Anolis sagrei: one gene and its partners. Each later gene encodes a partner of the first gene's protein in a complex. Links are inferred from orthologs where the notes say so. Each region holds a gene or a part of one and is shown in the gene's direction. Other genes may lie near its edges. The genes, in order: POLR1C; POLR2H; TATA box-binding protein-associated factor, RNA polymerase I, subunit C; TAF1B.

The links.
Region 2: POLR1C (region 1) and POLR2H share a complex: the UniProt entries of both Homo sapiens proteins name them as parts of the pol I pre-initiation complex. The link is inferred for Anolis sagrei from reciprocal best matches to the Homo sapiens genes POLR1C and POLR2H.
Region 3: POLR1C (region 1) and TATA box-binding protein-associated factor, RNA polymerase I, subunit C share a complex: the UniProt entries of both Homo sapiens proteins name them as parts of the pol I pre-initiation complex. The link is inferred for Anolis sagrei from reciprocal best matches to the Homo sapiens genes POLR1C and TAF1C.
Region 4: POLR1C (region 1) and TAF1B share a complex: the UniProt entries of both Homo sapiens proteins name them as parts of the pol I pre-initiation complex. The link is inferred for Anolis sagrei from reciprocal best matches to the Homo sapiens genes POLR1C and TAF1B.

What each region holds. Positions count from the first base shown.
Region 1 is NC_090021.1:49,747,808-49,756,325, reverse strand, and holds the start of POLR1C (DNA-directed RNA polymerases I and III subunit RPAC1), read left to right. Parts: upstream 1-5,369; 5' UTR 5,370-5,414; coding exon 5,415-5,483; intron 5,484-6,446; coding exon 6,447-6,518; exon of another isoform or gene 6,519-6,538; intron 6,539-7,129; coding exon 7,130-7,237; intron 7,238-8,106; coding exon 8,107-8,239; intron 8,240-8,361; coding exon 8,362-8,478; intron 8,479-8,518. Other genes in the region: protein YIPF3, read right to left, coding at 503-703, 4,824-4,919. UniProt on the Homo sapiens protein: DNA-dependent RNA polymerase catalyzes the transcription of DNA into RNA using the four ribonucleoside triphosphates as substrates.
Region 2 is NC_090023.1:261,905,616-261,914,162, forward strand, and holds the start of POLR2H (DNA-directed RNA polymerases I, II, and III subunit RPABC3), read left to right. Parts: upstream 1-5,396; 5' UTR 5,397-5,612; coding exon 5,613-5,685; intron 5,686-7,571; coding exon 7,572-7,655; intron 7,656-8,397; coding exon 8,398-8,491; intron 8,492-8,547. UniProt on the Homo sapiens protein: DNA-dependent RNA polymerase catalyzes the transcription of DNA into RNA using the four ribonucleoside triphosphates as substrates.
Region 3 is NC_090022.1:302,042,217-302,050,135, forward strand, and holds the start of TATA box-binding protein-associated factor, RNA polymerase I, subunit C, read left to right. Parts: upstream 1-4,775; 5' UTR 4,776-4,893; coding exon 4,894-5,061; intron 5,062-7,919. UniProt on the Homo sapiens protein: Component of the transcription factor SL1/TIF-IB complex, which is involved in the assembly of the PIC (pre-initiation complex) during RNA polymerase I-dependent transcription.
Region 4 is NC_090021.1:130,630,195-130,637,817, reverse strand, and holds the start of TAF1B (TATA box-binding protein-associated factor RNA polymerase I subunit B), read left to right. Parts: upstream 1-3,996; 5' UTR 3,997-4,132; coding exon 4,133-4,150; intron 4,151-6,266; coding exon 6,267-6,365; intron 6,366-7,623. UniProt on the Homo sapiens protein: Component of RNA polymerase I core factor complex that acts as a GTF2B/TFIIB-like factor and plays a key role in multiple steps during transcription initiation such as pre-initiation complex (PIC) assembly and postpolymerase recruitment events in polymerase I (Pol I) transcription.

The sequences.
Region 1 (8,518 bases):
TAGCTTTTTCAGTACCCCCCCCCCCAAGATTTGTAGGATTTAGGGGTACAGGACATCCATGAAAATGGGAAGCCTGTAGATTTAAACAATTCTTTTTGTACCTGACACTCTCTAGGTCACCTAATGTGATTCTGCAATCAACACGTGCCAGATGTTAACTATAGAGTTGCAGTAGAGGACCTAGGGATTCCTAAAGATACTATTTATTTAATCAAAACTGATTAAACACAGCTGCTGGAACATCAGCTTGTACAGACCAGGAGTTTGAGTCTCAGGCATCTAACCTTAAAGTGGCTACCCTGACTCTGTGTATGGCATGACCTACACTAATTTAAATAACTATAAATTATCCCTCTAAATTGGGCAATAAACATTAGTCAAGACTACAATATGGAAGAAACATCAAGATACTATTTCCAAAAAATTGGAATAAATTAGAAACATGTGGGAATCAGGATTTAAAACTTTGATCCTCAGATTTGATAAAGAAAGCTGTGGTTACCTCATCAGCAACTTGCCGACTCAACTGTCCCTTAAAGCCCTTCATCCCCAAGAACTCTCCATCTTCTTCATCAGCAGCTGCTGCTTCTGCATCCACCTCTTCCTCTTCCTTCATACGTTGATGCATCTCACCCATGTCTTCAAAGCTGGAGCCAGATGTGTCATCCATGTTTTCCATGTCAATTACAGCAGAACCTCCACCCTGAGCAAGGTGGAAAGATACAGTGAGACCATGCACAAACATTTACCTTGACTCGAGAGGCAGCACAGCCATGAGAAAGAAGGCTGCAATGAATATCCTACAATAATCTCTCTCTGTAGAAAAAAAATTACAGGCATTGATAACAATCAATGTAAACTCAATTCTTCATACTTGTCTTTGTGTCAAATGGGAAGAGCAAGAGGAAAGCATCCTTTTTGTTGGCTTCATTCGATGTATCAGTAGATGCTGAAAATTGGGAAGAGTTTCACCATTGACAGTAATTAAGAGTATATTCTTAGGCTAGATCTACATTGCTATATAATCCAGATTATCTGCTTTGAACTTAATTATATGAGTCTACACAGCTGTATAATCCAGTTCAAAGCAGATAATCTGGATTTTATATGGCAGTGTAGATGGATCCTAGTTAACTGGAACCATGGGAATATGTCCCCTGCTTCCATTCCCATCATACACAACTAGGGAGAAGGCTCAAACTTTGTTTTGTTATTTGTGCTTTGTTAACCTTCAGATGAAACTATTGTAAAATGAAAACCACAAAAGGTTCCTTAAAGTTCAGATATTCCTTCTAGTTGAGGACATTTAGATCCATTAGATCAGTGGTTCTCAACCTGTGGGTCCCCTTTTGGCCTATAACTCCCAGAAATCCCAGCCAGTTTATCAGCTGTTAGGATTTCTGGGAGCTGAAGGACAAAACTTCTGGGGACCCACAGGTTGAGAACCACTGCATTAGATAAAAATAAAAGGAAGGAAGTCCAATGACTTTGTGAACTCCTGCAAGCTGTTTTAGGTTGAGGAAAAGTAAATCAGAACTTGGGGGAAAATTCACTAGGCTCAAAAGAAGGTGAAATTGTCTCCCTAGTCTCCTGGACAGTCTTTTCACTGGAAAAAATCCTAACTTTAAAAAAAACAACAACACCAAACCAGTGCACACCAGGGGTATATGCATACGGTTTCCAATATAGTCCCACAATTGCCCTCTTCTGACCTAAAGCTTTTCTATAGTGATTAATACTGTTCTCACATTTTAGGATGGGGGAGACTAAATTAGCGATTCTGTAGTTGTACCCTGCTGCTATAAGAACAAGATTACTTTGAGAATTGGAGACAAATCAATGTCCCCCATCCGCCAAAGGCTTCAAACCCTCTAGAAATGTCACATTTCTGTGCATTACCATAGGAGGTCTAAACGTTTAAAACATATGTTGGCAGAGTGGAGTTCTGGGATGGTTTGCAGCACAAAACTCCTCTTTCCACCCCACAAAAACCACTTATCCCATCAATGTTTTGTGACAAGAGGTTTCTGGGAATGTGTGCTGAAGCAAGAGATCTTACTCCTGATTTCAAATTGAAACCATTTTATGGATCTGAGAACAAACATTAGAGGCATGCCTTCTATTTTCAAGACCGTTACAAACTAGTGTCAAAACAATGCCTTTAGACAAACATAGTATCAAACCCAAATGGCTTGCTTGAAGTTGTGGGAAATCTTTGTTTTTCCAGATACACTGGACTGTCATCCCCACAATATCTTGAAGGGCAAGGTAGATCAGAGATTAACCCAAACCAGACTGACAGTCAAAAGTTTATTGCTTCATAGCGAGCGTATATTTCTACAATAAATAACCTTTCAGATGGAAGAGATATTTCTACAGCCTATAGTGCTATGGAGACAGGAAGGTTAGTTAAGTTAGACCATGGAACTAGTGATTATTTAAGATTATTATAAATTCATGGTATAACTAAAATTGTATGGAATTGAATAAAGTCTATTGAAATGGAAGCTATGAAACATGCATATGATCAGGTTGGGCAGGCAGAACAGACTGCCATTTGAAGACCTGGGGTCAAACGGATAATCAAAACATTCAATTAGTTAACTCAAGAATTTTGGCAGAAAAAACCTAATAATCTTTTCTATTTGTACTAGAAAAATTATTGTTTATGGGATAACAATATGTGGAATCCTTTTAACTCATGAATCTGTCCAATTCTGTGTGTAATTCGATGACTTCAACATACAATTGCAAAAAGAGACCATTTAAAGAGGAAGCCCTTTTCCAAAATGGGAGAAAATTTAAAAGACTAAATAAAAGGTATCATCCACATGAGTTAGAAAGTGGCACTTGCACATATGTCTTCCATAGCTGTTGCAATTGCAGGGCTTTTTCAGTTGTTTGTGTAATCAAAGCTGACAAGGCAATAGCTCCACAACAATAACTAAATCTGTGCCTAAAGAAGAAAGCCTAGAGCAAGTGCATGCCATTGGAAAGGTCAGCCACACAAATGTCATTGCAGAGAAGCTGTATTGACAACTCAAATCCGACAATATTACTCAAATTTAACATTTCTGTAGTTTTATCTTACAAGTATATTACAGGCATGAATAAGGAGAACTAAATCAGCCTTATGATGTTTTCATAATTTGAACCAATACTGACATCACTTCAAAGTTCCTGTTAATAATGGGTACATCTCAACTGTAGTTAATGCAATTTGACACCAATGTAATTACTGTGGCTCAATTCAATAGAAATCTGGGAGTCATAGTTTGGTGAGGCATCAACACTATTCAGCAGAGACCTTTTAAAACTCCAGTTCCCAGAATTCCATAGCATTAAGGCATGGCAGTTAAAGTAGTTTCAAGCTACATTTAATTGTTGCATTGGAGATACATTCAATATTATAAATAGAAATACCACTAATAATAAAAATTAGTGCAATCTATCCGGAGATCAGCACTGAGGCTCATCCCTTTAGTATCTAGAATAAAGCTTTCCAAAATGTCATGATATATTATAGTGTCTTGGTTGCAGTGTGTAGGTGTGTTATGTGAATGTAATGAGAAACCTCTGAGTATGTAAAGTAAGCATAATGATATATATTTAAAACTATATGGTTATAAAAGGATGGTTTAAACTCTGGTTTTCCAGTGAAACTGAATTAGTGGCACAAAATGATGCATGCTCCAATTCTGTGGAACTCATTGCCTCCATACATTAGAGCATTGTCGGAGTTGCGACCTTTTGTAAAGGCACTCAAGACTTGGCTGTTTGGTTGTGCATTTAAGTAATCAGATCTAATTTGCCAAATAGTCACTGTTGAATGTTTTTATGTTGAATGTTTTTATATTGTGTAAATGCTATTTTAGATTGTAAGTCGCTCGGAGCACCTTGGTGGAGAGTGACTAATTAAGAAATAAAGTGAAGTCTAAAAAGTGTGTCACCATGAAATGTTTGGAAAGCTCTGCTCTAGAGCTTCCTTCGGCAACAACCCCTTTGATCTCTTATTTCAAAAACTTTATTTGTTATGTTTATTTTTCTCTCTCTCTCCTTTATATATTTTAAAAACGTAGCATATTCACCCGAGCATAATGGGTCATTCAATCTAATGCACATTTTAATTTTTAGCTGTGTAATTTATCCAAAAAAAAGACAAGCATTAGACTTGGGCAAATAATGTACAATTCTGTTATCATTACATTAAAAACACCAGATTTGGGGTTGGCCAAATGAACAGACAGTTACCAGAAGGCATTTCCATAAGTTAGTGCTTAGAACTACTTGAACAGGACACTGCTATTTTTACCCGTATGTACTCAAGTGTAATGCACCATTGAATCTAACAAACACATCAATTTGGACTATATAGCCATTTTAGTCCCCAAAAGGGGGAGCATTAGACTCAAGTAAACATGGTATTTCCTAATACATTTTAGGAGCACCTAAAGGAACTCCAGCAGGTTTTGAAGCTAAGAAGTTACCTCTCAATAGGTGGTTATCTACTAGAGGACTCACTCCTAACTAAGCCAACTAAATAAGTACATTCTCAAACACTCTCTCCTACATTGTTCTATATGACAGGACCTGATCCCAGATTATTTGCTTATCACAGATCATCTGGCAATGGAGACTCATATAATCCAGTTCAACCTGGGGTCAGATTCTGGAACATAAGGACAGTGTAGAAGGGACCTTACAAAACAGGGGCTTTTCCTGCCTGACGTTTTTGAAGCAGAGTTGGCGTCCAAAACACCTGGAAGGGAGGGCCAAGTTTGCCCCTGCCTGGTCTCTGGGCTAACTCCAATGCCGAAAGGTACCTGCATGTTGTCCTCGAAGGCCCCCCACTCGGCCACAGGCCCAGCCCTGGCTCCTCCAGCCGCCGACCCCGAGGGGACGCCTCCGGATCCGGACATCTTCCCTCCGGCTGCGAGGGAGCCTACGCTCCCGCTTCCCTGAGAGGAGAGGCAGGAAAACAGGGCCCAACTGAAGGCGAAGCGAGAAGGACCCGGATGTGACACCCAGCGGCGCTGAGGACGTGGAGGCGCGGCCCCTCTCGCGATATTTTACGGCAGGCGGCCTGTCGCTGGCGCCATCTTAGTTGTCCTCCTGGACAAGCTTAGCGACAACGGGCGAAAAAAAGGCAAAGTTTGTCCTCTCTGTTAAAGAGTGGTGCCTCATAAAACTACAGCTCCCATCATTAATGAGTATTGAGAGCCTTGTCAGTGAAAGGGGTTTCAAGCAGCATGAATTCTACAGCGAAGGAGCGCCACACACAATATGGCGTCCAAAAGGTTACGCGCCGCGTCACGTGACCCCAAGAGAGCGTCGCTTCTGAAAAAAAAAAACCAAAACATCCGGCGGAAGTTGGAAAGTTGATCTTTTCTCCTCCGGCTCACGTTGGTTCCAAGATGGCGGCGCCCGGGAGCGTGGAGGAGATGCGGAGCCGAGTGGTTCTGGGCGAGTTCGGAGTCCGCAACGTAAGTCGGGAAGGGAGAAAGGGAACCAGCAGCAGCAGGGGGGGAGCGAAGGGGCACTTCCAGGAGGCCTGCCTTGGACCCAATCCCCGCCACAGCCAGGCCAGGGAAGACAGCTGGTTCAGCTCACAGAGGGGCCACCAAGGAGGAATCAGTGCCGCTTGGCGCCACTTTCACAGCTGGGGATCAATGCTGTGGCATCTTCCACTCTAAACCAGACCGGACAGGCGAAAGCTAAAGCAGGCCTGGGCCAAGTTGGGCCCTCCAGGTGTTTTGGACTTCAACTCCCACCATTCCCAACAGCCTCAGGCTTGTTCTCCAAACGCTTGTTCATTTTAGTTGCCCTCCTCTGGACACATTCCAGCTTGTCAACCTCTCCCTTCAATTGCGGTGCCCAGAATTGGACACAGTCTTCCAGATGTGGTCTAACCAAGGAAGGAATAGAGGAGTAGCATGACTTCCCTGGGTCTAGACACTGTACTCCTATTGATGCAAGCCAAAATCCCATTAGCTTTTTTTTGCCGCCGCATGACATTGTCGGCTCATATTTAACTTATTGTCCATGAGGACTCCAAGATCTTTTTCACACGTGTTGCTCTCGAGAATTTAATGGCCTTGTAGCTTCAGAAACCATATGCAAATTAGTAGATCAAGTGAGACCTACTAATTGGGCCCTCTAGGTCTTTTGGACTCCAAGATATCTTATTATTCATGTCAAAGCAAATACAGGTATTCCATAAACTGAAAGATCCCAAAACATTTCTGATCTCAAGCAAGCGTTTTGGATAAGGGATCCTCAACCTGTACAGTATAACTTTCAGTGCTCAGTTGGCCCCTTGTGTCCACAAATTCAATTGTCTATGGCTTGAACTAGGGGGATTTTCCTAGCTCTGTCTCAGGCTGACCCTATGATTTTCTCTGCAATGTATATGTTCCAAGCATCACCTCTTCCCCTCTTTTTTTCAGGCCCACACAACAGACTTTCCCGGGAATTATTCTGGATATGATGATGCTTGGGATAGAACTAAGTTTGAAAAGGTGAGCGTACTTCTTCTTAGGTATCTTGAGGGGCTAGCATGATAGATCTTGATAGTAACCAGTAGAGATTTAGAACCTTTGTTTTGTTTCTAGAAATTGCTTTATCTATATAGTATATATTTGTTCAGCCAGTAGTACTGACATGTCTATTGTGAGGTGGAGGGATTTATGGTCCAGGTGTAAAAGATACAGGATAGATTTCAATTCAGCAGGGATTGATAATTGTTGTATCCTGCCTCAAGCTATGTGGAGAGGCAGGTAACAAGTACAATGCATTGTTGTTGTTGTTAAGTGCACTACACAAAGAAAATTCCCTTTGACCTTGGTATCTCTGGGGCCCACAAGCTAAATCTGGAGGATACATATGGCCTGGGAACTGCATTTTGCCCATTCCTGCTGTAGGATTCTCTTTTGCAGAAATACACCTAAAACAGACTGGAAGAAAGTAATTGATGTGAGGATTTGATTGTAAGCTGAATATATTTTTTCAGTGGTGTCGATTACTCAAACACATCCCTGATTGCGAAGTTTTTTTTACTTCTTGTTCTTTTCCAGTGAATATATTTTATCCTTAAGACTACGCCTGTTTTGAAACTGTTTGTTTCTTACAGAATTTCAGAGTAGATATCATCAGCATGGATGAAAGCACACTGGAGTTTGACATGGTGGGGATTGATGCAGCAATTGCTAATGCTTTCCGACGCATCTTGCTTGCTGAGGTATTCATTAGATTAGTACAATGAGTAATAAGGCACTTTTGGGGCATTTCTCTGGGTTATGACTTAGTTGGCTGGGTTTGGCTGCAATTACATTTTTACAAGTACAAGCTGGTCATTCTGAGTTATTCCAGAAGTTTCCCTTAGAAGTAAATAAAATGTTGAAGAAATATTGAGAGGGATGTGTGGTACTGTTTCATTATCCTGATGGAGGCCATTAATGTCATTATTTTATATGGTTTTATATATATGGTTTATGTAGTGTGTTTATACAGTGTTTTGTTTATTGTTTATTTGTCTGGGTTGGGGATGATGTTGTACTCTTGTATTATGTAATTTCTGTTTTTTAACCATTTGTTTGCCACTTTGTGTCTCACCTGTGAGAGAAAAGCGGATAAAAATAAATAAATAATAATAATGATAATTTCTGCTTCTTATAATTTTTACTGCTTTAGACTAAACTTGGTGGAGTGTGCAAAATCCTAATTTGCAGTCATTTAACTATAAGTAAAGTCTTTACAATTATCAGTGGTACGTTCTAGATGGTTTAACCTTTTCTTGGTCAGACCTTCAGGAAATGCATGGCAAATGTGTTAAATTGCCTAGTTTCCTTGTGGAGGCTTGATATATTGCTTAGAAATAAGGGAGTTTTGCCTCTCCTAATATAGTAAAGTAAGACTTTGGATTTACACAGTAGATTTATATTTTAGATCTTCTCGATACATGGCATGAACAAATAGCATTATACCTTCAGAATCCCTAAACAGATTCAGCTGAAATAAATAGATGTGTTTATTTATTGTAGACCGATGCTTTGCGATACTGTGGCTGAATATCTCTGCTTAGCAACAGATTTATTGTCTCTTCCTTAGGTGCCAACCATGGCTGTTGAGAAGGTCTTTGTATATAATAACACCTCCATTGTGCAGGATGAAATTTTGGCTCATCGTTTAGGACTGATCCCTATCTGTGCAGATCCTCGTCTCTTTGAATATAAAAGTGAAGGTAAGATAGCCAAGTATGCATTTGTAGGGGGACCAAAACTGATGAAGCTATGTGCTAAAAGAAGTTAATGCCAGAGCATAGGCTGTGTTTGGAGTTTTCAGTCTCTTTCTTTTCTTCTGCAGAGGATGAATGTGATGAAATTAACACTCTGCAATTCCAGCTGAAAATAAAATGTAGCAGGAACCTCGAGGCACCTAAGGAATCATCTGACCCGAATGAACTCTATATTAATCACAAAGGTAAAACATTTGTTTTGGAGTCGTTGTCCTGTATTCTGCT
Region 2 (8,547 bases), on another chromosome or scaffold:
TCATCGTTTGAACCACAATCCAGTATCATTTTCCGTTGTTCCATTCCTGTCGTTATTACCAATTATTGCACTTCTTGTTCAAACTCCTTCTTGAACAGCCAGGTCTTTAATTTCCTGCGGAATATCATCAGGGAGGGGGCCAGTCTGATGTCCACGGAAAGGGTGTTCCACAGCCGAGGAGCCACCACCGAGAAGGCCCTGTCTCTCGTCCCCACCAACTGCTCATTGGAGGGAAGAATAGTAGAGGCCAAGAAGAAGTACTTTGGACACATCATGAGAAGACAAGAAAGCTTAGAGAATACAATGATGCTGGGGAAAACGGAAGGAAAAAGGAAGAGGGGCCGACCAAGGGCAAGATGGATGGATGGTATCCTTGAAGTGACTGGATTGACCTTGAAGGATCTGGGGGTGGTGACGGACGACAGGGAGTTCTGGCTAGGGCTAGTCCAGGAGGTCACGAAGCGACTGAACGAATAAACAACAAATGACAGGCATCCTCAGAGGTCGTGACTGTTGCTACTAGGGGTTTACAACAGGCTTTTTCTAAGTAACAGGGAAGATCAGACCCTTTTCTGTTACAACTGCCACAAATTAATTGGGTGTGTTATCACTTTCTGCATAAAACAAGGCACTAAGGCTTGCAAGTTTTGAACTTTGCATTTTTAGCTTAGCCTGATGGCTCGTTTTGAGCTGAAGAAACCTTTAACTGTTGCTGGGAGCGGTTACACAGCGTGCTGAAACTGAAGACTGAAGCAGTTTGGAATACCAGAGAAACTGCTTGTTTATGGCAAGACGAGGACATTCTATAATAACTTAAGTAGACAGATTGTATTATTTTGCTATATATTTGCATATTGTCGTTTATAGAAGATGCCTCACCGGAGAGATACACTACACTACTTACCTCACCAAGAGTTTTTTAAAAAAATAGTCTTTGTAATTGGCCCTGCACACCCTGATCAATTATTGTGATTTTATATTGTATCTTGTGTTTATTTTGTATTGTTCTTTTATTATTTTTATTGTATTTTTATTTGATGTATTATTGTATGTTTATATATTTGCATTAAAAGTTAGATTAGAAACAAAGAAAAGATATATATATATATATATATATATATATGAATTATATCTCTGTGTGTGTGTGTGTGTGTGTGTGTGTATATATATATATATATATATATACACACACACACACACACACACATATATATTTCCATATATATGAATTAATTCCACAATGTATGTATGTATGTGTGTGTGTGTGTGTATATATATATATATATATATATATATATATATTCATTCCATACACGCACAATATGTATATATACAGTCACACATTGTGGAATGAATTCATATATATGGAAATATTATATGATTATATAGATGTATGATTGTGTGTGTGTGTATATATATATATACAAACACAATCATATATCTATATAATCATATATTTCCATATATATGAATTCATTCCACAATGTGTAATGTGTATCTGTATGTATGTATGTATATTTATTTATTTATTTGTCGTGTCAGAGCACCCAGTCCATTATATTACATTTCTAACAGAACAAAGCAAACAAACAGAAAAATACACAACTTGTGAGTTTGATAGCTGGTTAAATGTCCTTTGACCAGTATCTCGCCACTTGGAGTGCTCCTGGTGTTGCTGCAAGAAAGTCCTCCATTGTGCATGTGGCAGGGCTCAGGTTGCATTGCAGCAGGTGGTCAGTGGTTTGCTCTTCTCCACACTCGCATGTCGTGGATTCCACTTTGTAGCCCCATTTCTTAAGGTTGGCTCTGCATCTCGTGGTGCCAGAGCGCAGTTTGTTCAGCGCCTTCCAAGTCGCCCAGTCTTCTGTGTGCCCAGGGGGGAATCTCTCATTTGGTATCAGCCATTGATTGAGGTTCTGGGTTTGAGCCTGCCACTTTTGGACTCTCGCTTGCTGAGGTGTTCCAGCAAGTGTCTCTGTAGATCTTAGAAAACTATGTCTAGATTTAAGTCGTTGACGTGTTGGCTGATACTCAAACAGGGGATGAGCTGGAGATGTCTCTGCTTTGGTCCTTTCACTATTGGCTGCTACTTCCCGGCGGATGTCAGGTGGTGCAATACCGGCTAAGCAGTGTAGTTTCTCCAGTGGTGTAGGGCGCAGACACCCCGTGATAATGCGGCATGTCTCATTAAGAGCCACATCCACTGTTTTAGTGTGGTGAGATGTGTTCCACACTGGGCATGCATACTCAGCAGTAGAGTAGCATAGCGTAAGGGCAGATGTCTTCACTGTATCTGGTTGTGATCCCCAGGTTGTGCCAGTCAGCTTTCATATGATATTGTTTCTAGCACCCACTTTTTGCTTGATGTTCAGGCAATGCTTCTTGTAGGTAAGAGCACGGTCCAGAGTGACTCCCAGGTTTTTGGGTGCGCTGCAATGCTCCAGTGAGATTCCTTCCCAGGTGATCTTCAGAGCTCGGGATGCTTCTCTGTTCTTGAGATGAAAGGCACATGTCTGTGTTTTAGATAGGTTAGGGATCAGCTGGTTTTCCCTGTAATAGGCAGTAAGAGCACCTAGAGCTTCGGAGAGCTTCTGTTCTACAGTCTCAAAGCTGCCTGCTTGAGCAGTAATGGCACGATCATCAGCATAGATGAAGCTCTCTGTCCCTTCTGGCAGTGGCAGAAGGGACGTAAGGAAGGAGTAAAGAAGGAGAGAAAGGGAGGGAAGGAAAGAGAGACGGATGGAAGTAAAAAGTGAAGGAAGGAAATAGGTAGAGAAGGAAGAAAGGAGAGAAAAGGGAAAGAAAAGGGGGCAAGGAAGGAAAGAGGTAGGGAAGAAAGGAAGGAAGGAAGGAGAGAAGGAAAGAAGAAAAGAGAAGGAAGGAAAGAGGGAGCAAAGGAAGGAGGGAAAGGAGAAAAAGAGGGAGGGGAAGGTTGGCCACAGCAATGCAGGTACAGCTAGTGTATTTGTGTGTTCATATATTCATTCATATATATATAGTATGAATTCATTCCGCAATATATATATCTGATGCTTTAATAAACGCAGTTTTGTTGTTTGCAACTAATGCCAGACTCTTCTCCAGTCCTTTTAGCTGGAGCGCCCAAAATAAGTCACCCACAAAACCCTTCTATATAGTGGTAGCTTCCCAGGGAGGCAAAGAAAGCTTCTGCGCAGGCGCAAGGGAATCCAGTGACCTCATGCTGCCTTCCCGTTTCTCTGTTCTTGAGATGAAAGGCACATGTCTGTGTTTTAGATGGGTTAGGGATCAGCTGGTTTTCCCTGTAATAGGCAGTAAGAGCACCTAGAGCTTCGGAGAGCTTATTTATTTTATTTATTTGCTTTATTTTTATACCGAATTTGCAGCCTAAATCGGCGACTCAATGCGGTTTCTGCTTCTGTTCTGCCGTCTCAAAGCTCCCTGCTTTGAGATGTATATATATATATGTATATATGTATATGTATGTATGTGTGTATGTTGTTGTTCATTCGTTCAGTCGTCTCCAACTCTTCGTGACCTCATGGACCAGCCCACGCCAGAGCTCCCTGTCGGCCGTCACCACCCCCAGCTCCTTCAAGGTCAGTCCAGTCACTTCAAGGATGCCATCCATCCATCTTGCCCTTGGTCGGCCCCTCTTCCTTTTGCCTTCCACTTTCCCCAGCATAATTGTCTTCTCTAGGCTTTCCTGTCTCCTCATGATGTGGCCAAAGGACTTCAACTTTGTCTCTAGTATCCTTCCCTCCAATGAGCACCCGGGCTTTATTTCCTGGAGTATGAACTGGTTGGATCTTCTCAGCACTTTCCTCCAGCACCACAGCTCAAAAGCATCTCTCTTCCTTCGCTCAGCCTTCCCTAAGGTCCAGCTCTCACATCCGTAGGTGACTACAGGGAAGACCATGGATTGGACTATGCAATGGATCTTTGTTGCCAGTGTGATGTCTCTACTCTTTACTATTTTGTCGAGACTGGACATTGCTCTCCTCCCAAGAAGTAAGCGTCTTCTGATTTCCTGGCCACAGTCTGTGTCTGCAGTCATCTTTGCACCTACAAATACAAAGAAAAATGTGTGTGTGTGTGTGTGTGTATATATATAAAGGTAAAGGTTGTCCCCTGACATTAAGTCCAGTCATGTCTGACTCTGGGGTGTGGTGCTCATCTCCATTTCTAAGCCGAAGAGCCAGCGTTGTCCATAGACACCTCCAAGGTCATGTGGCTGGCATGACTGCATGGAGTGCCGTTACCTTCCCGCCGGAACGGTACCTATTGATCTACTCACATTTGCATGTTTTCGAACTGCTAGGTTGGCAGTGTAGGGGCAACAAAACCAAAATATTTCCCAAAAGGCAGAAGCCCCCTTTCCAATAGGGAGGGCAAGAATGGACACCACGAAAGTTGAATCCTTTAAACTGCAAAAAACTATTTATTATTGCGTGGCCATAGCAATAACGACAAACAAGCATACAGGGATGCAATCAAAGGGTTTGTCGCAACCCCCAAGGGGGCTGCAGAGCAATTATAGTAAATGGAATATACATTTTCATTGGTTCCCAAAGACAAATCACTTCATTGGTCTAAGCTAGCTATGCAGTTGTTCATTAGTTGTTTATGATTTTGATTGACATTATAGCACACGTGGGATCCTAACAATGGCACAACTATAACATAACTATGGTCCATTGTTCTCTGACCATGACTGTATCTTATCTATTAGTCTGTTGCAAACATGGCTTCAGAGCGACTGGGAAACTTGGGGGTTCTATCTAGCAAACAGCTAGCTGGTTTTGTCCAGATATGTTGTTACCCTTGAATAGTAACTTCTTCTTTGGAGCACTGATTTCTCAAACAATCAGCATTTTCTGTGAACAAAGGCCTACTGCAGAAATAGGCCAATATGGCAGTAAATCATGACATATGGGCATAGGGGAAATATATGAAAATTCCCTTTTTAAAACCACGTCCCCTCCAGCAGAAGCTAGGGTTGACAGCGGAAGCTCACGCCGCTCCCCGGAATTGAACCTGCGACCTTTCGATCAACAAGCTCAGCAGCTCAGTGCTTTAACCCACTGCACCACCGGGGGCTTTGTGTTATGTTATGTGTGTATATATATATATATATATATATATGAATTCATTCCGCAATATATTATGTATGCTGCTTTAATCAACTCAGTTTTGCTGTTTGTAACTAACGCCAGACTCTTCTCCAGTCCTTTAACATGGAACACCCAACATAAGTCACCCACCAAACTCTTCTGTATACTGCTAGTTTGCCAGGGAGGCAAAGAAAGCTTCTGCGCAGGCGCAAGGGAGTCCAGTGACCTCATGCTGCCTTCCCGTTTCCTCTGGGGTTTGAAACCTCCTTCTGCCCGCGAACGCGATGGCTGCTTGAGCTTCGGGCGCGCTGCGTCATCTGCGAGCGCCGGAAGTAACCCTAGTGTGGGGTTTCTCACTCCACGCGGATCCTGTCAGCTCTGGCTCCGAGTCGAGGGCGCAGAGGGCGGGATTTTTGATGTGTCTTGTGTCTGGCTCTGGTTCTCTTTGTCAGGCTGCATTCCTTCCCCTTCCTGACCCACCCCTGAACCTGTGGGCGTTGGGCCTCCTTCTCTTTGGCCATGGCTGGCATCCTCTTCGAGGACATTTTCGACGTGAAGGATATCGACCCCGAGGGAAAGAAGTTCGACAGGGGCAAGTATTCTGACTGTGATGATGATTATTATGTATGTTATCTTATATAGGCAGTCCTCAAGTTAAGAACAAGATAGGTTCTGTAGGTTTGTTCATAAGTTGACTGTGTATCCTCCAGCCAAATATCTATGTATATTTTTGGATAGCATAGAGAAAGGTTAACACCCCTGTGGTGTTTGTTTTGCTCTCTGTGCCCCTGTTATGATTTCACCTCACTTTCTGTCCCAGTGATAATTCATTTTGGACAATTTGACTTGTTGTGGATACAAGGATCGGTGATAAAGCTTCAGTGGAGACACTTTTCCAGGTGTGGATTTAATGCAATAATAATAATAATAAACTTTATTTGTACCCCGCCATCATCTCCTCAAGGGGACTCGGAGCGGCTTACATGAGGCCAAGGCCAACAACTCATCAGTAAAAACAAAACAGCAAGCAAATAAAACAGTACAATTAATATAACTTACATATAAACAATAACACAGAGAATTTCCCTTCTGAGGGGTAGATTTCTCTCCCTTCTTGTTGTCTCGCCCTTGTTCTTAACTACGAGTAGTTTGTAAGTTGGATGTTTGTAACTTTCGGACTATCTGTATTTGTGTCTTTGTCTTGACATAGGTGTGAGAAGTGTGTTTGGTGGTCTTAGAATAAGTCAGAATTGACTGGTTTGTTAACACTATATAACATGATGCCTAGGCGAACTACAACTCCCAGATCCTATGTCAATCACCCCCAAAAGAGGGCCTGTATGCAAAATTGGCCATGTTGGGTCTGTGTGCCATGTTTTGTCCAAGTCCAAAGTCGGCTGGGTTCAGTGCTTGCTGGATAGGGTGAACTACATCTCCCAGAGCCAAGGTCAATCATCCTCAAACCCCTGTGCACTTGTATGCACAGTTGGCCATGTTGGGTCTGTGTGCCAAGTTTGGTCAGGATCTGATCATAGAATCATAGAATCAAAGAGTTGGAAGAGACCTAAAATGATCAAGGGTCTGGAGAACAAGCCCTATGAGGAGCGGCTTAGGGAACTGGGCATGTTTAGCCTGAAGAAGAGAAGGCTGAGAGGAGATATGATAGCCATGTATAAATATGTGAGAGGAAGCCACAGGGAGGAGGGAGCAAGCTTGTTTTCTGCTTCCCTGGAGACTAGGACGCGGAACAATGGCTTCAAACGACAAGAGAGGAGATTCCATCTGAACATTAGGAAGAACTTCCTGACTGTGAGAGCCGTTCAGCAGTGGAACTCTCTGCCCCAGAGTGTGGTGGAGGCTCCTTCTTTGGAAGCTTTTAAACAGAGGCTGGATGGCCATCTGTCAGGGGTGATTTGAATGCAATATTCCTGCTTCTTGGCAGGGGGTTGGACTGGATGGCCCATGAGGTCTCTTCCAACTCTTTGATTCTATGATTCTATGATTCATGGGCCATCCAGTCCAACCCCCTGCCAAGAAGCAGGAATATTGCATTCAAATGGCCATATAGCCCGGAAAAACCTACAACAACCCAGTTATATAACTTCTATAGTTATATAACATTTTATACATGTATTTATACAATATTTCCCAAGAACTATTCCTGCCCTCTGTGAACCTTCCCTTCTATCCCCACATTCATTTATTGCTCTTATACCTACTGTTTCTCCTGAGAACCCAAGGTGCCACATATAATCCCACCCGCCCCCCAAACTACAGATCACAATCCTTTGCTGTAGGCCAAACATTAATACATTACTAACAGTCATCCACCACATTTCATGATGACATTTGAACAAGGTACGATCTGCTTCCACCCTATCTGTCTTCAGGCTACTAGAAAAAGTTCCCCGTTTTCTGCTTGGTGACAATATACTTCCAATGTTGTGTCTTAATTGACATATGGGTTTGTCTCATCAGTTTCCCGACTACATTGTGAGAGTGAGTCCTTCAAGATGGATTTAATCCTAGATGTGAATGTACAGATCTATCCTGTTGATCTTGGTAAGTCAGTTTTAAGTCACTGGCCCAACTGTTGGGTAATAGCTAAGCTTGTGTTGTTTGATTAAAAATCTGTTTATTTTTAAGCTTTTTTCTCTTGGCAAATTCAGGCTTCTTGACTTACCGTATATAAACCCTGCTCTTTTCCTCTTATCCAAAATGCTTTGGATCGCAGATTTTCTTTTTCATATTTTCATTTAAGTACATCATGAGCTATCTTGGAGATGGGACACAAATGCTGAATTCATTTATCTCTCATGTACATCATATACATACAGGTAACTTTATGCACAGTATTTTTAATAATTCTTTTCACATAACAAAATCCATGTACACTGAACCATCAGAAAGCAAAAGGTGTAACTATCTCAGCCAGCCATGTGGACAGCTTTGGAGGATTTTGGAATTCCAGATAAGGGGTGCTGAACTTGTAACGTGTAGAAGTATTATTTCAGCCATAGTGCAGCCTTTGAAATCACCTTGTACTGAATTGACAGTGTCGTATTTTGCTTCAAGCGTGTTATGTACCTAAACTCAACTTTTGGTGTCTCTATGGTAGTGTTTTCTTGTCAAGATTTCTTTAGAAGAGGTTTGTTATTGCCCTCTGAGGATGAGAGAGTGTGGGTTGCCTAAATCCTTTCAAAGGTCTTCCATGGCCAGACCCTTGTCTCCTGGAGTCATAGTTCTACTACTCAAACCAGTACACTGCACTGACTCCTACGTCTCCTGTCTTCTCTCATTTCAGGTGACAAATTCCGCCTGGTAATTGCCAGTACCTTGTACGAAGATGGAACCCTGGATGATGGTGAATACAATCCTACTGATGATAGGCCATCCAGGTAATGGGAAAAATGTTCTGCCAGAGGTGTGGATGTAACATAGGTTTGGGTGAGTA
Region 3 (7,919 bases), on another chromosome or scaffold:
CAAACATACATACAAACAAATAAAGGAGGATAAGGCGAAGAAGAGGAAGAAGGAGGAGATGAAGGAGAGGCAGAAGAGGAAGAGGAGGATGGAGATGGAGATGAGATTGCCCACGGACTGCCATGAGGAGCCAGCAGACTGAGAGTAAACAAACACACAAACAAACAAACAAATAACGGAGGATAAGGAGAAGACAAAAAAGGAGGAGGAAGGAGATGGAGAAGAGGAAGGAGATGGGGAAGGGGAAAGGCAAAGGGGTGGGTATGGGGAAGGGGAAAGGGAAGGGGGTGGGGGTGGGGAGGAAGGGATGCAACCTCACTTCTTCGCTGCCCCCCCCCCCTACCTTCCTCCCAGGAGGGCTCCTTGGGACAACTGTGAGCAGAGCCTTTGTCCACCCCATGGCCACCAGGTAGCATCTCCATGCCAACAGAAGGTGGGCTTATTGCCATAGCAACCAGGTGTGTCACAAGGGGCCCCCTCCCCACAGCAGCTTAGGAAGGGCAGACTTCCCTCAGGACAGGGGGAGGGGGGAGGGGGGCAACACACTCTCCCATTGCTTCCCCTGGACCCTGAGTGGGGGTCACCCAAACACCCCACACCTCTGGCTTAGGCAACAGCCGGGAGGCACAGTGGGAGGGGGGAAACAGTGGGCATTTCAACAGAGACCGCGGATAGCGGGGCCGTGCCCGGTGAGGTTCCGCCAAACCCGATTGGCCAGGACAGAGAACAAAGCACTCCGGGTTTAAACAGCAGAGGTTGATCACAGTTTGGCCAAAAGGAATGCAAGGACCGAGTCTCCATTCCAAAATGTACACAAAGCACACCTTCCCAGATAGATAGATAGATAGATAGATAGATAGATAGATAGATAGATAGATAGATATATTTGGCAGTTTTGTCACTTCTGTTCGAGGGACTCAGGCCAGTTTCCAACATCAGTATTACAGTCATTAAAACATCATATTCTACATCACACTAAAACATTAAAATAGCAAAATACAATCCTATAATTACAGTGGTCAGTCGTCATCAAAAATCATTATTCGTCGTCTTCCATCCATTTCACAGGATCATGGCTCATTCGTCGAATGCCAATCCCCAAAGCCAAGTTTTCACCTGTTTCCTGAATGTTAAGATAGAAGTTCTGATCTCCAGTGGAAGGGAGTTCCAGAGTCGAGGGGCCACCACCGAGAAGGCCCTGTCTCTCGTCCCCACCAGCCACACCTGTGAGGCCGGTGGGATCAAGAGCAGGGCCCCTCCAGACGATCTTAGCAATCTTGATGGCTCATAGGGGAGAATATGTTCGGAGAGGTAAATTGGAGGAAATTACAAGATATTTTATACACTTTGACAGCTTTTTAGACTGCCCACGCCTAAAGGTGGGGCAGACATGGCCAATGTTCATTGGAACCAATTGATGCCCCATGAACCCATCTGATGCCCTTCAGAAGGAGAAACATCCTCTGTCTCCCTGTGAGGCTGAATCCCCAAGCCTTCAGATTGATCTCAACTGCAGCAGGGAGTTCCGCAGTTTCCATACTTCTGGACAGCGTGAAGAACCGAGGGTCTGTGGTCAAAGCAGCAGCTTCAACACAAGAACCTTTCTTTTCCTCCTTTATGAACTTAGCCTGCCAATGCAACAATCACCCCAATAAACGAATCCTTTGCTTGCAACTTTTCCTCTCCATAGTGATACATTCTGGAGTGCCTTAAACACTCTCTAACATGAACCTTTCCTTTCCCGAGCCGCAGATCACTGCTGGCTCACCCGGGACGCTCCTACAGCGTCTCGGGGATGCCGAAACTGCGATCCTCTAAACCGCAGATATGGAAACCCATTGGGCCCCCGTATTTGCGGGTCGACGGATCACCTCCAAACCGGTGCCATTGTTTTCCTAGACTAATTTTAAGACCAACTGCTATCTTACTTTTTGCACTCTAACACATGACCCCATGCTCTTGCCAGGTCCTTCCGGCCCTTGATGACATGGGATTTCTAGTTCTCTCCTCTTCTGCAAATGGACTCCAACGCCTCCATGCTCCCTCTGACTCCCATGTGTCCCATGGACTTTTATGAACCTTTTGGACGCTTTTTATCAACTTTTTCCAACTTTCCACAACTTTTATGAACATTTAGAACTTTGTCAACTTCAGGAGGACTCCTGGATCTCCCAGGAAGCCTTCCTGCCAAACCCCTATGGACTTTTTAGGATTTCCACAAAACCTTATGACCTTTTGAGGAACTTTGGAGGGGGGAGGCTGACATGATTTCCCCCTGACCCTGCATGATTTTCTATTCATTGTTTCCCTCCTGTCAGGCCTCCTGCCTCCTCATTGGCTGAGAGGCCGAAGCGGGGAAAGCGCTCTGATTGGCTAGAGTGCAGCTCAGCCAGCCGCGCCTCCCGGCCAGCTGATGACTCCAACCAATCAGCGCGAAGCCGGCTCTGTAAGCTCTGTATTTCCTATAAAAACTGTATAACTTTTTCCAACGAGTCATGTTGGCTCCTGGGCAAATGATTGCGGTCGTCATCCATTCCAGCTGGAATGAATTAAACAACTCGGAGGCAGAAACTGCAATCCTCTGAACCGCGGATATGGAAACCCATTGGGCCCCCGAATCTGCGGGTCGACGGATCACCTCCAAACCAGTGCCATTCTTTTCCTAGACTAATATTAAGACTAACTGCTATCTTACTTTTTGCACTCCAACACATGGCCCCACGCTGCAGCGATATTTGTGCCTCCATTCCACCAATGTCCAGAAGCCTGCCACCCCGGGCAGCCTCCTGCGGTCAGCCCTCAGGACCCCCGGACTCCTGCCAGGTCCTTCCAGCCCTTGATGACATGGGATTTATAGTTCTCTCCTCTTCTGTGAATTTTGTTAGTGGATTAGTGGCCCAGGAAGCATGAAGGGGCTTCCTGAGCCAGGCGAATGGCTGGATGCTGAAAACAGTGGCTTCTCCTTCCTTTTTCAGAATATATATATTATGTAATATAATAAAATTTATATTGTACTATTTTATATAATATATTAATATATGTGATATATATTAAAAATATATTATTTTATATAATATATAATATATATATTAAATATAATATATATATTATATTTTATATAATATTTAGAATTATATAATATATATTATATTATATAACATATATATAATGTAATGTAATATATTTTATTTACTAAATAATAATAATAATGCCCCAAATAATAAATAATAAATAAATGCCACTTCTCCAAAAATGCGCCTCCATTTATTTATTTATCATTATATTACATTACATATAATATATTATATTGTATACAATATAATACGATATACATTATATAATATAATAATATTATATTCAATATAATATAATACATTATATTATATATATTGTATTATATTGTATTATATTATATTATATTATATATTTTGTATTATATTAGATTTTATATTAGATTATATATTATTATTATATATTATATTAGATTATATTATATATTAGATTATATTTTATATTATTATACATTACATTAGATTATATTTTATATTTTATATTATATTATATTATATATTTTGTATTATATTAGATTTTACATTAGATTATATATTATTATTATATATTATATATTATATTATATAATATATTATATTATGTTATGTTATGTTGTTATATTATATTATATTATATTATATTATATTATATTATATATTATATTATATTATATTATATTATATTATATTATATTATATTATATTATATTATATTATATTATATTATATTATATTACATTATATTACGACTCAGGATGATTGACTGTCCCCCAAGCCCCGCCTCCGTGTCTTCCACCCAATCAGGAAGAGGGGGCGTGGCGATAGGCCCGCAGGCGACTCAGGATGACTGACTGTCCCCCAAGCCCCGCCTCCGTGTCTTCCACCCAATCAGGAAGAGGGGGCGTGGCGATAGGCCCGCAGGCGACTCAGGATGACTGACCTTCCCCCAAGCCCCGCCTCCGTGTCTTCCACCCAATCAGGAAGAGGGGGCGTGGCGATAGGCCCGCAGGCGACTCAGGATGACTGACCTTCCCCCAAGCCCCGCCTCCGTGTCTTCCACCCAATCAGGAAGAGGGGGCGTGGCGATAGGCCCGCAGGCGACTCAGGATGACTGACCTTCCCCCAAGCCCCGCCTCCGTGTCTTCCACCCAATCAGGAAGAGGGGGCGTGGCGATAGGCCCGCAGGCGACTCAGGATGACTGACCTTCCCCCAAGCCCCGCCTCCGTGTCTTCCACCCAATCAGGAAGAGGGGGCGTGGCGATAGGCCCGCAGGCGACTCAGGATGACTGTCCCCTAAGCCCCGCCTCCGCGTCGTCCACCCAATCAGGAAGAGGGGGCGTGGCGATAGGCTGGCAGGCGACTCAGGATGACTGACTGTCCCCCAAGCCCCGCCTCCTTGTTGTCCACCCAATCAGGAAGAGGGGGCGTGGCGATAGGCTCGCAGGCGACTCAGGATGACTGTCCCCTAAGCCCCGCCTCCGCGTCGTCCACCCAATCAGGAATAGGGGGCGTGGCGATAGGCTCGCAGGCGACTCAGGATGACTGACTGTCCCCCAAGCCCCGCCTCCTTGTTGTCCACCCAATCAGGAAGAGGGGGGCGTGGCGATAGGCCGCAGGCGACTGAGGATGACTGACTGTCCCCAAGCCCCGCCTCCGAGTGGTCCACCCAATCAGGAAGAGGGGGCGTGGCGATAGGCGGTGTTTCCACTCCGGGGCTTTCCGGCCGCCAGGAGGGAGGACGGGAGGGCTGTTGGAAGTGGCGCATGCGCAGTTGCTCCTCTTCCTCCTGATTGCCGCGAGTTCGAGGCCCGCGTCCGCCTCTTCTCAAGGAAGGAAGCAAGCATGGCGGAGGCGGCTTCCTTTCCGGAGAGGCTCTTCCCGGGGCTCTTCCTGGCGGGGCCGCCCCACCGCGCTGTCACCCGGCCCTCCTCCTTGGCGTCTGGCTGGGGCTCCTATGGGCAAGTGCAGAGGGAGCAGGAAGAGGAAGAGGAAGAGGAAGAAGAGGAGGAAGTGAGCTGAATTATCATTATTGCTATTATCCTCATTATTATTAACAGGGGCACAAGGCTGAGGTGGGAGAAGCAACCCACCAAGGCCTTCCCTTTCCATTGAGAATTGTTGTTGTTGTTGTTGTTGTTATGGCTTCAACTATTTATTTATTTTTGTATACATACATACATACATACAATACATATAACAGATGGCAAGCTGTTTAACCTCAACAGACTGAAAGCCAAAACAAAGGTTACAACATCTGTTATAGAATTCCAGTATGCTGATGACAATGTCATCTATGCGCATTCAGAAGAACTACAGGCCACTCTAAACACCTTCACAGAAGCATATGAGAAGCACGGCCTGTTGTTGAACATCAAGTTAAAGTTCGCCAAAACCCAGGTCACAACAACATCTGTTATAGAAATCCAGTATGCTGATGACAATGTCATCTATGCGCATTCAGAAGAAGAACTACAAGCCACTCTAAACATCTTTTCAGAAGCATATTAGAAGCTCGGCCTGTCATTGAACATCAAGAAAACCAAAGTGCGCCAAAACCAAGGTCACAACAACATCTGTTATAGAACTCCAGTATGCTGATGACAATGTCATCTGTGCACATTCAGAAGAAGAACTACAGGCCACTCCAAACACTTTCTCAGAAGCATATGAGAAGCTCGGCCTGTCATTGAACATCCTTCGACAATACCATTTAAACACCTTTGCAGAAGCATACGAGAAGCTCGGCCTGTCATTGAACATCAAGAAAACCAAAGTGCGCCAAAACCAAGGTCGCAACAACATCTGTTATAGAACTCCAGTATGCTGATGACAATGTCATCTGTGCACATTCAGAAGAACTACAGGCCACTCTAAACACTTTCGCAGAAGCATATGAGAAGCTCGGCCTGTCATTGAACATCAAGAAAACCAAAGTGCGCCAAAACCAAGGTCGCAACAACATCTGTTATAGAACTCCAGTATGCTGATGACAATGTCATCTGTGCACATTCAGAAGAAGAACTACAAGCTACTCTAAACACTTTCGCAGAAGCATATGAGAAGCTTGGCCTGTCGTTGAACATCAAGAAAATGAAAGTGCGCCAAAACCAAGGTCACAACAACATCTGTTATAGAACTCCAGTATGCTGATGACAGCGTCATCTGTGCGCATTCAGAAGAAAACTTACAAACCACTCTAAACACCTTCGCAGAAGCATATGAGAAGCTCGGCCTGTCATTGAACATCAAGAAAACCAAGATGCGCCAAAACAAAGGTCACAACAACATCTGTTATAGAACTCCAGTATGCTGATGACAATGTCATCTGTGCACATTTAGAAGACCTACAAGCCACTCTAAACACCTTTGCAGAAGCATACAAGAAGCTTGGCCTGTCATTAAACATTGAGAAAACCAAAGTGCTCTTCCAGCACTTCCCTCCCCAAATGCCAGAAATATTTATTTATTTGTTTGTTTGTTTACTATATTTGTATACCGCCCTTCTCAGCCCTTACACAACTCAGGGCTGTTTACAAATGGCAATGATTCAATGCCCAAAAACAACATAAAACATTTAGAAACATTAACACATAATATAAAAACATAACAGGAATACTAAAAGCATACATCATTTGCGTCTCCTAATAAAAACAAAACTTAATGGCATAACATTAGAAAATGTGGACCATTTCCGCTACCTTGGCAGCCACCTCTCCACCAAAGTCAACATTGATACCGAAATACAATACCGCCTGAGCTCTGCGAATGAAGCAGAGAGTGTTTGAGGATCGGGACATCCGTAGGGAGACCAAGGTGCTTGTAGATAAACCCACTGCCCTCCCAACCCTTCTATACGCCTGCGAGACGTGGACTGTCTACAGACGTCAACATTGACACTGAAATACAACACTGCCTGAGCTCTGCGAGTGCAGCATGTTTCCGAATGAAGCAGAGAGTGTTTGAGGACCAGGACATCCGTAGGGAGACCAAGGTGCTTGTTTATAAAGCTATTGTCCTCTCAACACTGCTATACGCCTGCGAGATGTGGACTGTCTACAGATGTCAACATCAACACTGAAATACAACACTGCCTGAGCTCTGAGAGTGCAGCATTTTTCCGAATGAAGCAGAGAGTGTTTGAGGACTGGGACATCTGTAGGGAGACCATGGGGCTTGTTTATAAAGCTATTGTCCTCCCAACCCTGTTATACGCCTGCGAAACGTGGACTGTCTACAGCCGTCAACATATACACTGAAATACAACACCGCCTGAGCTCTCTGCATGCAGCATTTTTCCAAATGAAGCAGAGAGTGTTTGAGGACCAGAACATCCATAGGGAGACCAAGGGGCTTGTTTACAAAGATATTTTCCTCCCAACCCTGCTCTACGCCTGCGAGACGTGGACTGTCTACAGACATCTCATGCAACTCCTGGGACGATTCCATCAGCGCTGTCTCTGGAAAATCCTGCAAATCGCTCATAGAAGGCACAGATTCATGTATATACACCGACTGAGCTCTGCAAGTGCAGCATTTTTCTAAATGAAGCAGAGAGTGTTTGAGGACCGGGACATCCATAGGGAGACCAAGGAGCTTGTTTATAAAGCTATTGTCCTCCCAACCCTTCTATATGCCTGCGAGATGTGGACTGTCTACAGACGTCAACACCGCCTGAGCTCTGCGAGTTCAGCATTTTTCCATATGAAGCAGAGAGTGTTTGAGGACCGGGACATCTGTAGGGAGACCAAAGGGCTTGTTGATAAAGCCATTGTCCTCCCAACCCTGCTATACGCCTGCGAAACGTGGACTGTCTACAGATGTCACATGCAACTCCTGGAACGATTCCATCAGTGCTGCCTCTGAAAAAT
Region 4 (7,623 bases), about 81 Mb from region 1:
AGGGCTTTCTAAAAGACTCACATTACTACTTCCTATAATTTGTTATAAAAAAGGGAAAAAAGTTAAGAAGATAGCTATGGAGCAATTTGGAGAGCCAAGGTTTCAAGGAAGGAGAAAATACAGGAATGGTTAAGTGGTGATATTTCGAAATCGCGCAATTCCTGGTGATTACATTAATTAAAAGAAATTACCATGAAAGGATTATTCAACAAAACTTTAGGCGAGTAATGGAGCATTGATGCCCATTTGGAGACCACCCATAGAAACACCTATTCCTCGGTGTCACTAAAATGAGGTAACTTGGAAGAATCTGACAGATCCCATCCCACATGTAAATAAGCACCTTCTGCTATTTACGCATGAATCAGGAGCTCAGAAGATATTTCTCCCTGACTCCAATTCTCCCCATTTGTATACACTTTTAAAACACTTCACAGATGGATTACCATGGACAACAGGAAGAAGTCATTTTGTGTCGTATGATGAGCTCTGTTTTTAAAGTGTATAGAAATGGGGGGTGGGGGGTGGTGGTAAACACGACTTGCATCTGACGAGGTCCTACACCTTCTTGGTGAGCAAGAGATAATTGTGGGCTCCTCAGATAACTCTTAGCAGAGACACTTTGAGGTGTTATTTGACACAGGTTGCTTGTTTCCTGAAAGCAAATGCCTTGACATTTAACATGTCACCAAAGAGAATGGCTTCCTTATAATTAAGCATGTCTAACACCAAAACCTAAACAGTGTGTGTGTCAATGGTCTATTCGGCTTTGGGAAAATGGGAACCAGAACAGTAATATTAGCAGTGGAATCTTGTTCATTAGAAAGGAAGCCTGGAAGAATCCACCGGGCGTGTATTTATCTGAGTTGTGTATCAAGCTGCGTGTACTGCATATAACAATCTTAATTAGAAAAGTGAACTGAAGCAAGAAGACAGACTGTCTCCTTACTCCAACATTATCATATTCCTATCAATGTCTCCTTATACTTAGGTAACATATAATTATAGACAAAGGTTAGCATATAATTGTATATGTTGAATAACTGGTTATATGTGTATGTCATTATTTAAAGGCAGGGTTGGCTTTCCTCCAATTGGTGTTTGAGCAAGGAAGAGTGAGTGGGAAAGAGGGAATCGGTACCGAGTGATGAACATAGGGGTTAATTGAACAATGAACAGCCATGAAATAAAATACAATAACAATGGTTTCAGAGTGTGTGCTTTTTAAAAAGAATACATGTATATACAGGTTGAGTCTTCTTATCTGAAACAGTAGGACTAAAGGTGTTTTAGATTTCAGATTATTATTTTGGGGGGATTTTGAAATACCTGTGTTTGCATATATGTGCTTATGAGATCCAAATCGAAGCACAAATTTCATTTATGTTTCATATACACTTTACATTCATAAGTATATATGAAAGTAATTTAATACACAATTTTAAAACAATTTTGTGCATGAAGCCAAGTTTGTGTAGTTCAAATTGTCAAGAAGCAAAGATTTCACCATTTCATGTGTACACTTTTGGATTTTGGAGAATTTTGGATTTTGAATTTCGAAATTCCTGACAAGGGCTGCTCATGCTGTATTTCGCATTCCAAACGGAAACAAAATTTACTTTTGAGTTAGAAATGAATGACTAATGCCCCTTCCGGCAAACTGGTGAACATGTGAGCAGAACAAGGAAGGCCTGTGTAGAAGACATATTGATGGAGAGCCTTGGGCTGATTGTCTCTCTTCCTGCTCAGTCAAGGACTGAATGTTAACTGAGGCATGTTGAGAGAAGGCAACTAAGGCCCCTTCCACACCCGAATAAAATCCCACATTTTCTGTGTTGAACTGGGATATATGGCAGTGTGGACTCAGATAACCCAGTTCAAATAAGATATTGTGGGATTTTCTGCCTTGATATTCTGGAATATAGGGTTGTGTAGAAGGGCCCTGAGTCAAAAGCCAGAAAATACTATTGTTTTCAGGGCACCTGATCAAAAGGTTTGAAACTGGCCCGTAGCCAGTTTTTGATTTGGGGGGGGAGGGGGGGGGGCTGAGTCTGAGTGAAAGAGGGTCTACCCTAGCAAACCTTTTGTATTGTTACCCCAATACCCCCGTGCATATGGGATATATTGAGCATGGTGATCAGATCATGATATGAATAAACATAACAGTTTAAATAATGTACCAGTAAGGCCTTTTCGCAGACCACCATGAGAATTTGTGTGGACATAGAGTAGACTTTTCTCCCCCTTCCTGCCTCCATCCAATCCAACTGCCATTGACTTAGAGCCCTTCCACACAGGTTATCAAGGCAGAAAATCCCACATTATCTGCTTTGAACTGGGTTATCTGAGTCCACACTCAGATAATGTGGGATTTCCTGCCTTGATATTCTGGAATATAAGGCTTTGTGGAAGGGACTTAACTGGGTTCAAAACTTATCTTCTTTAATCTCAATTATATGAGTCTCCACTTCCAAATAATCAAGGATAAGAAGGTAATCTGGGATCAGATCCTGGGATATAGGACAGTGTGGAAGGGGCCTTATAGGGAGTCTTAGGGCTCTTCCACACAGCCATATAACCCAGAATATCAAGGCAGAAAATCCCACAATATCTCCTTTGAACTGGAGTATATGTCAGTGTGGACTCAGGGCCCTTCCACACAGCCCTGTATCCCAGACTATCAAGGCAGGAAATCCCACATTATCTGAGTGTGGACTCAGGGCCCTTCCACACAGCCCTATATCCCAGACTATCAAGGCAGGAAATCCCACAATATCCACTTTGAACTGGATTATCTGAGTCCACACTCAGATAATGTGGAATTTGCTGCCTTGATATTCTGGGATATAGGGCTGCATGGAAGGGCTCTCAGATAACCCAGTACAAAGCAGATATTGTGGGATTTTCTGCCTTGATATTCTGGAATATGTGTGGAAGGGCCCTTAGATAACCCAGGGTCCTTCCAAACAGGTCCTATATCCCAGGTGTTCTGCTTTAAATTGGATTATACGAGTCCCCACTGTTAGATAATCTGGGATAAACAGAAAACCTGGGATCAGATCCTGGGATATAGGGCCCTTCCACACAGTTATAGAACCCAGAATATCAAAGCAGCTAATCCACAATATCTGCTTTGAACTGGGTTATCTGAGTCCACGCTGCCATATTGTTGCTGTTGTTCATTTGTTCAGTCATTTCTGACTCTTCGTGACTTCATGGACCAGTCCACACCAGAGCTCCCTGTCGGCTGTCACCACCCCCAGCTCCTTCAAGGTCAATCCAGTCACTTCAAGCATACCATCCATCCATCTTGCCCTTGGTCGGCCCCTCTTCCTTTTTCCTTCCTAGGTATAACCTAGTTCAAAGCAGATAATGTGGGATTTTACTCAGCCAGGCATGTAGCCGGGGGGGGGGGGGGGGGGGGGGGGGCCTTGAGGGGCTTCAGCCCCCCCCCCCCCCGAAATTCTCATGGTGGTTCGCGAAAAGGCCTTCCTGGTGCATTATTTAAACTGTTAATTCATATCATGATCTGATCACCATGCTCAATATATCCCATATGCATGGGGGTATTGGGGTAATGATACAAAAGGTTTGCTAGGGTAGACCCTCTTTCACTCAGACTCAGCCCCCCCCCCCGAAACTCAGCCCCCCCTGAAAAAAAATTAGGCCCCCCCACCCCGAAATGAAATCCTGGCTACGGGCCTGTACTCAGCTGTGTGGAAGGAGCCTTTGTGTTGATATGTCCTCCCATTCTGGAAGGCGAATGGAAGATCAGTTGCCGAAAAGAACCACATTTACACTTACTAGGCCACATGTTCTGCCATCTGGGCTTCCTTATCAAAATCGCTTATGACTTGGTAAAGAGAGGCGAGTGTCAACTGCTGCCTTTTTGACTGATTTATCCCACATGCACTTTTCTCACACGCATCCCATGGGGTGTGCTTGAAGGGCGCGCCTCTTTCCCTGCAGGGGGCGACGAGCGACAGAGAGAAGCCGCTGCGGTTCGAGCCTCGGAACCAAAGCACTCGGAGTGTTGTTTCCCGGCCGACTGTTTTTGAGAGCGGACCGCTCATCCGGTGGGCTTCTCTCGCACCGCGGGGACCATCGACGGTGGTCTGGAAGGGACTTTCCGATGGAGGAAGAGGAGGCGGTGAGGCTAGGCTGAGGGAAGGGGGCATTTCGGGGAGAAGGAGCGCTCCCTGGAAATACTGGGGGCCCTTCCATACAGCTGAATAAAACCCCACATTAGCCGCTTTGAACTGGAATATATGGCAGTGTGGACTCAGATATCCCAGTTCAAAGCAGGTATTGTGGGATGTTCTGCCTTGATATTCTGGATTATTGGGATGTGTGGAAGGGCCCAGGGAAGGAGAGCAAAAACCCACGTGGAGCAGACAGCAGGCCCTTCTACACAGCCCTATAACCCAAAATATCAAGGCAGAAAATCCCACAATGTCTGCTTTGAACTGAGTTATCTGAGTCCACACTGCTACATGTTCCATTATTTATTTATTTTATTTACACAATTTCTACCCCTCCCTTCTCACCCCTGAGGGGGGACTCAGGACGGCTAACATGGGCAACAATTCAGTGCCATAATATCAATACAACAATGTAAAATCAAATACATAGCAAATTAAAACAGTAACATTAATTAAAATCACATACTTATATACTAACAAAGTTGCCAAATCAAGTCACATAGCCGTTTCCAATTGTCATAACAATCCTATGGTCCGGGTTCAGTATCTAAAGTGCTGCTGTGCCCACTAGCCAAAGGCCTGGCTCCAAAACCACGACTTTAGTTTTTTCCTAAAAGTAAGGAGGGAGGACGCCGATCTGATCTCACTGAGGAGCGAATTCCACAAGCAGGGGGCCACTACCAAGAAGGCCCTGTCCCTCGTCCCCACCAAGCGCGTTTGTGACACTGGTGAGACCGAGAGCAGGGCCCCCGCAGTAGATCTTAAATTATGAGGTGAAACATAGAGAGAGATACGTTCGGATAAGTAAGCTGGGCTGGAGCTTATTTATCTGAAGCAGATAACGTGGGCTTTTATTCAACTTTGGAAGGGGTCTCAATGCTACATAATGCCAAGAGTTGCAGTTTGGAGAGGTACCAGCACTCTTTGGGCCCTTCCACACAGCCCTATATCCCAGAATATCAAGGCAGAAAATCCCACAATATCTGCTTTGAACTGGGTTACCTGAGTACACACTCAGATAATGTGGAATTTTCTGCATTGATACTCTGGGTTATAGGGCTGTATGGAGGAGCCCTTTGGCTAAAGGCCTTGTAAAACTACAACTCTCAGGATTCCATAGCATTGATCCATGTCAACAAAAAGTGTGAATCTGCATTAGTTTTACAGTGTAGATGCACCTTAAATGGGATGCTAAAAAGTGAGCATTTGAGGATATGTGTATTTTGAGAAAAGATGCAGCCAAGTTGAGGGGGAAAGTGCATGCTCCATGCCTATACAAGCAATTATTACATAATTAATAATAAAATGATATTTTATGTGTTACTTGTCTTTTCTCACAGCTTGAGATGAGGAACAACACAGTCAAAACACAACACTATAAAATACATGTCATAAAATCAATACATTAAAACACACCATTGAAAAATACATAAATTAAAATACAATGCAAATAGCTATATTAAAATATAAGTAGAATGTAAAGTTAAAATTCACCATTTAAAATGTATTGGATTCAGGACTGTTGATGTCTGCAAAAAAGGAAACTAAGAAAATTGCCACACCTACGTATGAAATTGGACAATACCCTATTGATATTTTTTAAAACAGTAAATTATAATTGTATAGGAAGAACTTGGCTGTCCTTTGGGGTGTCCAGCTCATCATACAAGTCTGTATGCATCCAACATTTCTAGTTAAAGTCCAACTATCTTACAGTGTTTATAAACAACATCTTTAGATGGAGAAATCTAAAGCTAATTAAATTAGGTGCTTCATACCACAATCCAATGCATTTTGTTTATATAAGCCTAAGCCCCACTATGCTCAATAGAATGTGCTTGTTGGTAAAGGTGCATAATACTTGGGTGCAATTCTAGGCACACTTACTTGGAGGCCCTATTGACCACAATCCACTTCATTTCTAAGTGAACACAGTGATTTTTGTGTGATTATTACATTTAAAGGAGATATTTCTCTCAAATCTTACTTCCATGTCAGTTTATAGTGTGTTTGATTAGTATGAAAAGTAGGTATTTACATTAAAATTGATTTTATTGTTTTCAGAGAGATTTTGATGAACCTTGTGCAAAATGTATTTCTGTCGACTGGGGTGTTACAGAAGAAGGCAAATTTTACTGCAGATCTTGCCACACGGTCACAGAAGTAAGTAATGATCTATGCTGTTATCCCCTTCCACACTCCTAAACTGTGAATCTTTAGTTTAAAATTAAATCATCAGCATTGTCTGGGATCTTTATTAATGATCTTCCTCTGACTAATTAGTGACTCAGAATACAGATGCATATTACAGCCAAAAAATACACCCAAGAGTCTAGAAGAGTATTGTTGTACTGTGTAGGATTCTCAGCCAGGGTCTGCATCCAAGTCAGATTTGTGCATAAAAAGCTGTTTTCCTTCCAGTTGCTTACTTGGGACCGATTTTTGCAGCCTCTGCTGCTGACTCCATTATATTCATAATTAATTTTAATCATGTCATATTTCCATGCTTAAAGGAAAATGTCTGCAAGTATCTGGATGACAATGCAGTGATTAGTAGCGGCCAACATGGGTTTGTCAAGAACAAATCTTTCCAAACTTACCCTAGATCTTTTTTTTTAATTGGGTCATTAATTTAGTAGGTGGTGGGAATGCTGTGAGTGCCATTATTCTGGCTTTCAGCAAACTATTTGATAAAGTCCCCACAATATTTTGATTAGCAAATTGTCTAAATATGGAATAGATGGAAATGCCATCAGATGGATCCATAATTGCTCAAGGAGTTGTTGTCAATGGCTCTGCTTCAGATTGGAAGGCAGCCTCAAGTGGAATGCCACAATTTGCAAATGATGCAAAACTGGATGGGGTAGTCAGTACATTGGAGGACAGGAACAGCATTCAAAATAACCTGGAAAACTGGACTAAACTTAATAAAATGAAGTGTAACAGAGACAAATGTAAAAGTCTACATTTAGGCCACAAAATTAAAAGCACAGATAAAAGATGGCAGATACTTGGTTCAACTGTTCTGTGAATAAAAAGGATCTTGGGATTACTCTTGATCATAAATTGTACATGAGTCAGCAGTGTGATACTGCAACAAAGAAGACAAATGCTGTTTTGGCCTACATTGATAGAAGCGTTATTGCCAAGTTGAAGGAAGTGATAGTGTTATATATTTTTCTGCACTGGCCAGTGATTGTATTCATTTCTGGGCATCTCTATTTAAGAAAGATATAGACAAAATGGAGTGAGTTCAGAGAAGAGTAATGGGAATAGTAAGAGGTATAGAAAAAACATATAAGAAGAGGTTGAACAAGCATAGTATGAACAGCGTGATTAGGAGAAGGGTGACATAGACTCACCTGCTTAGATGCTTTATCTGGACATTCTGCATTGAGCAGGAGGTTGGAACTGTTAGCTA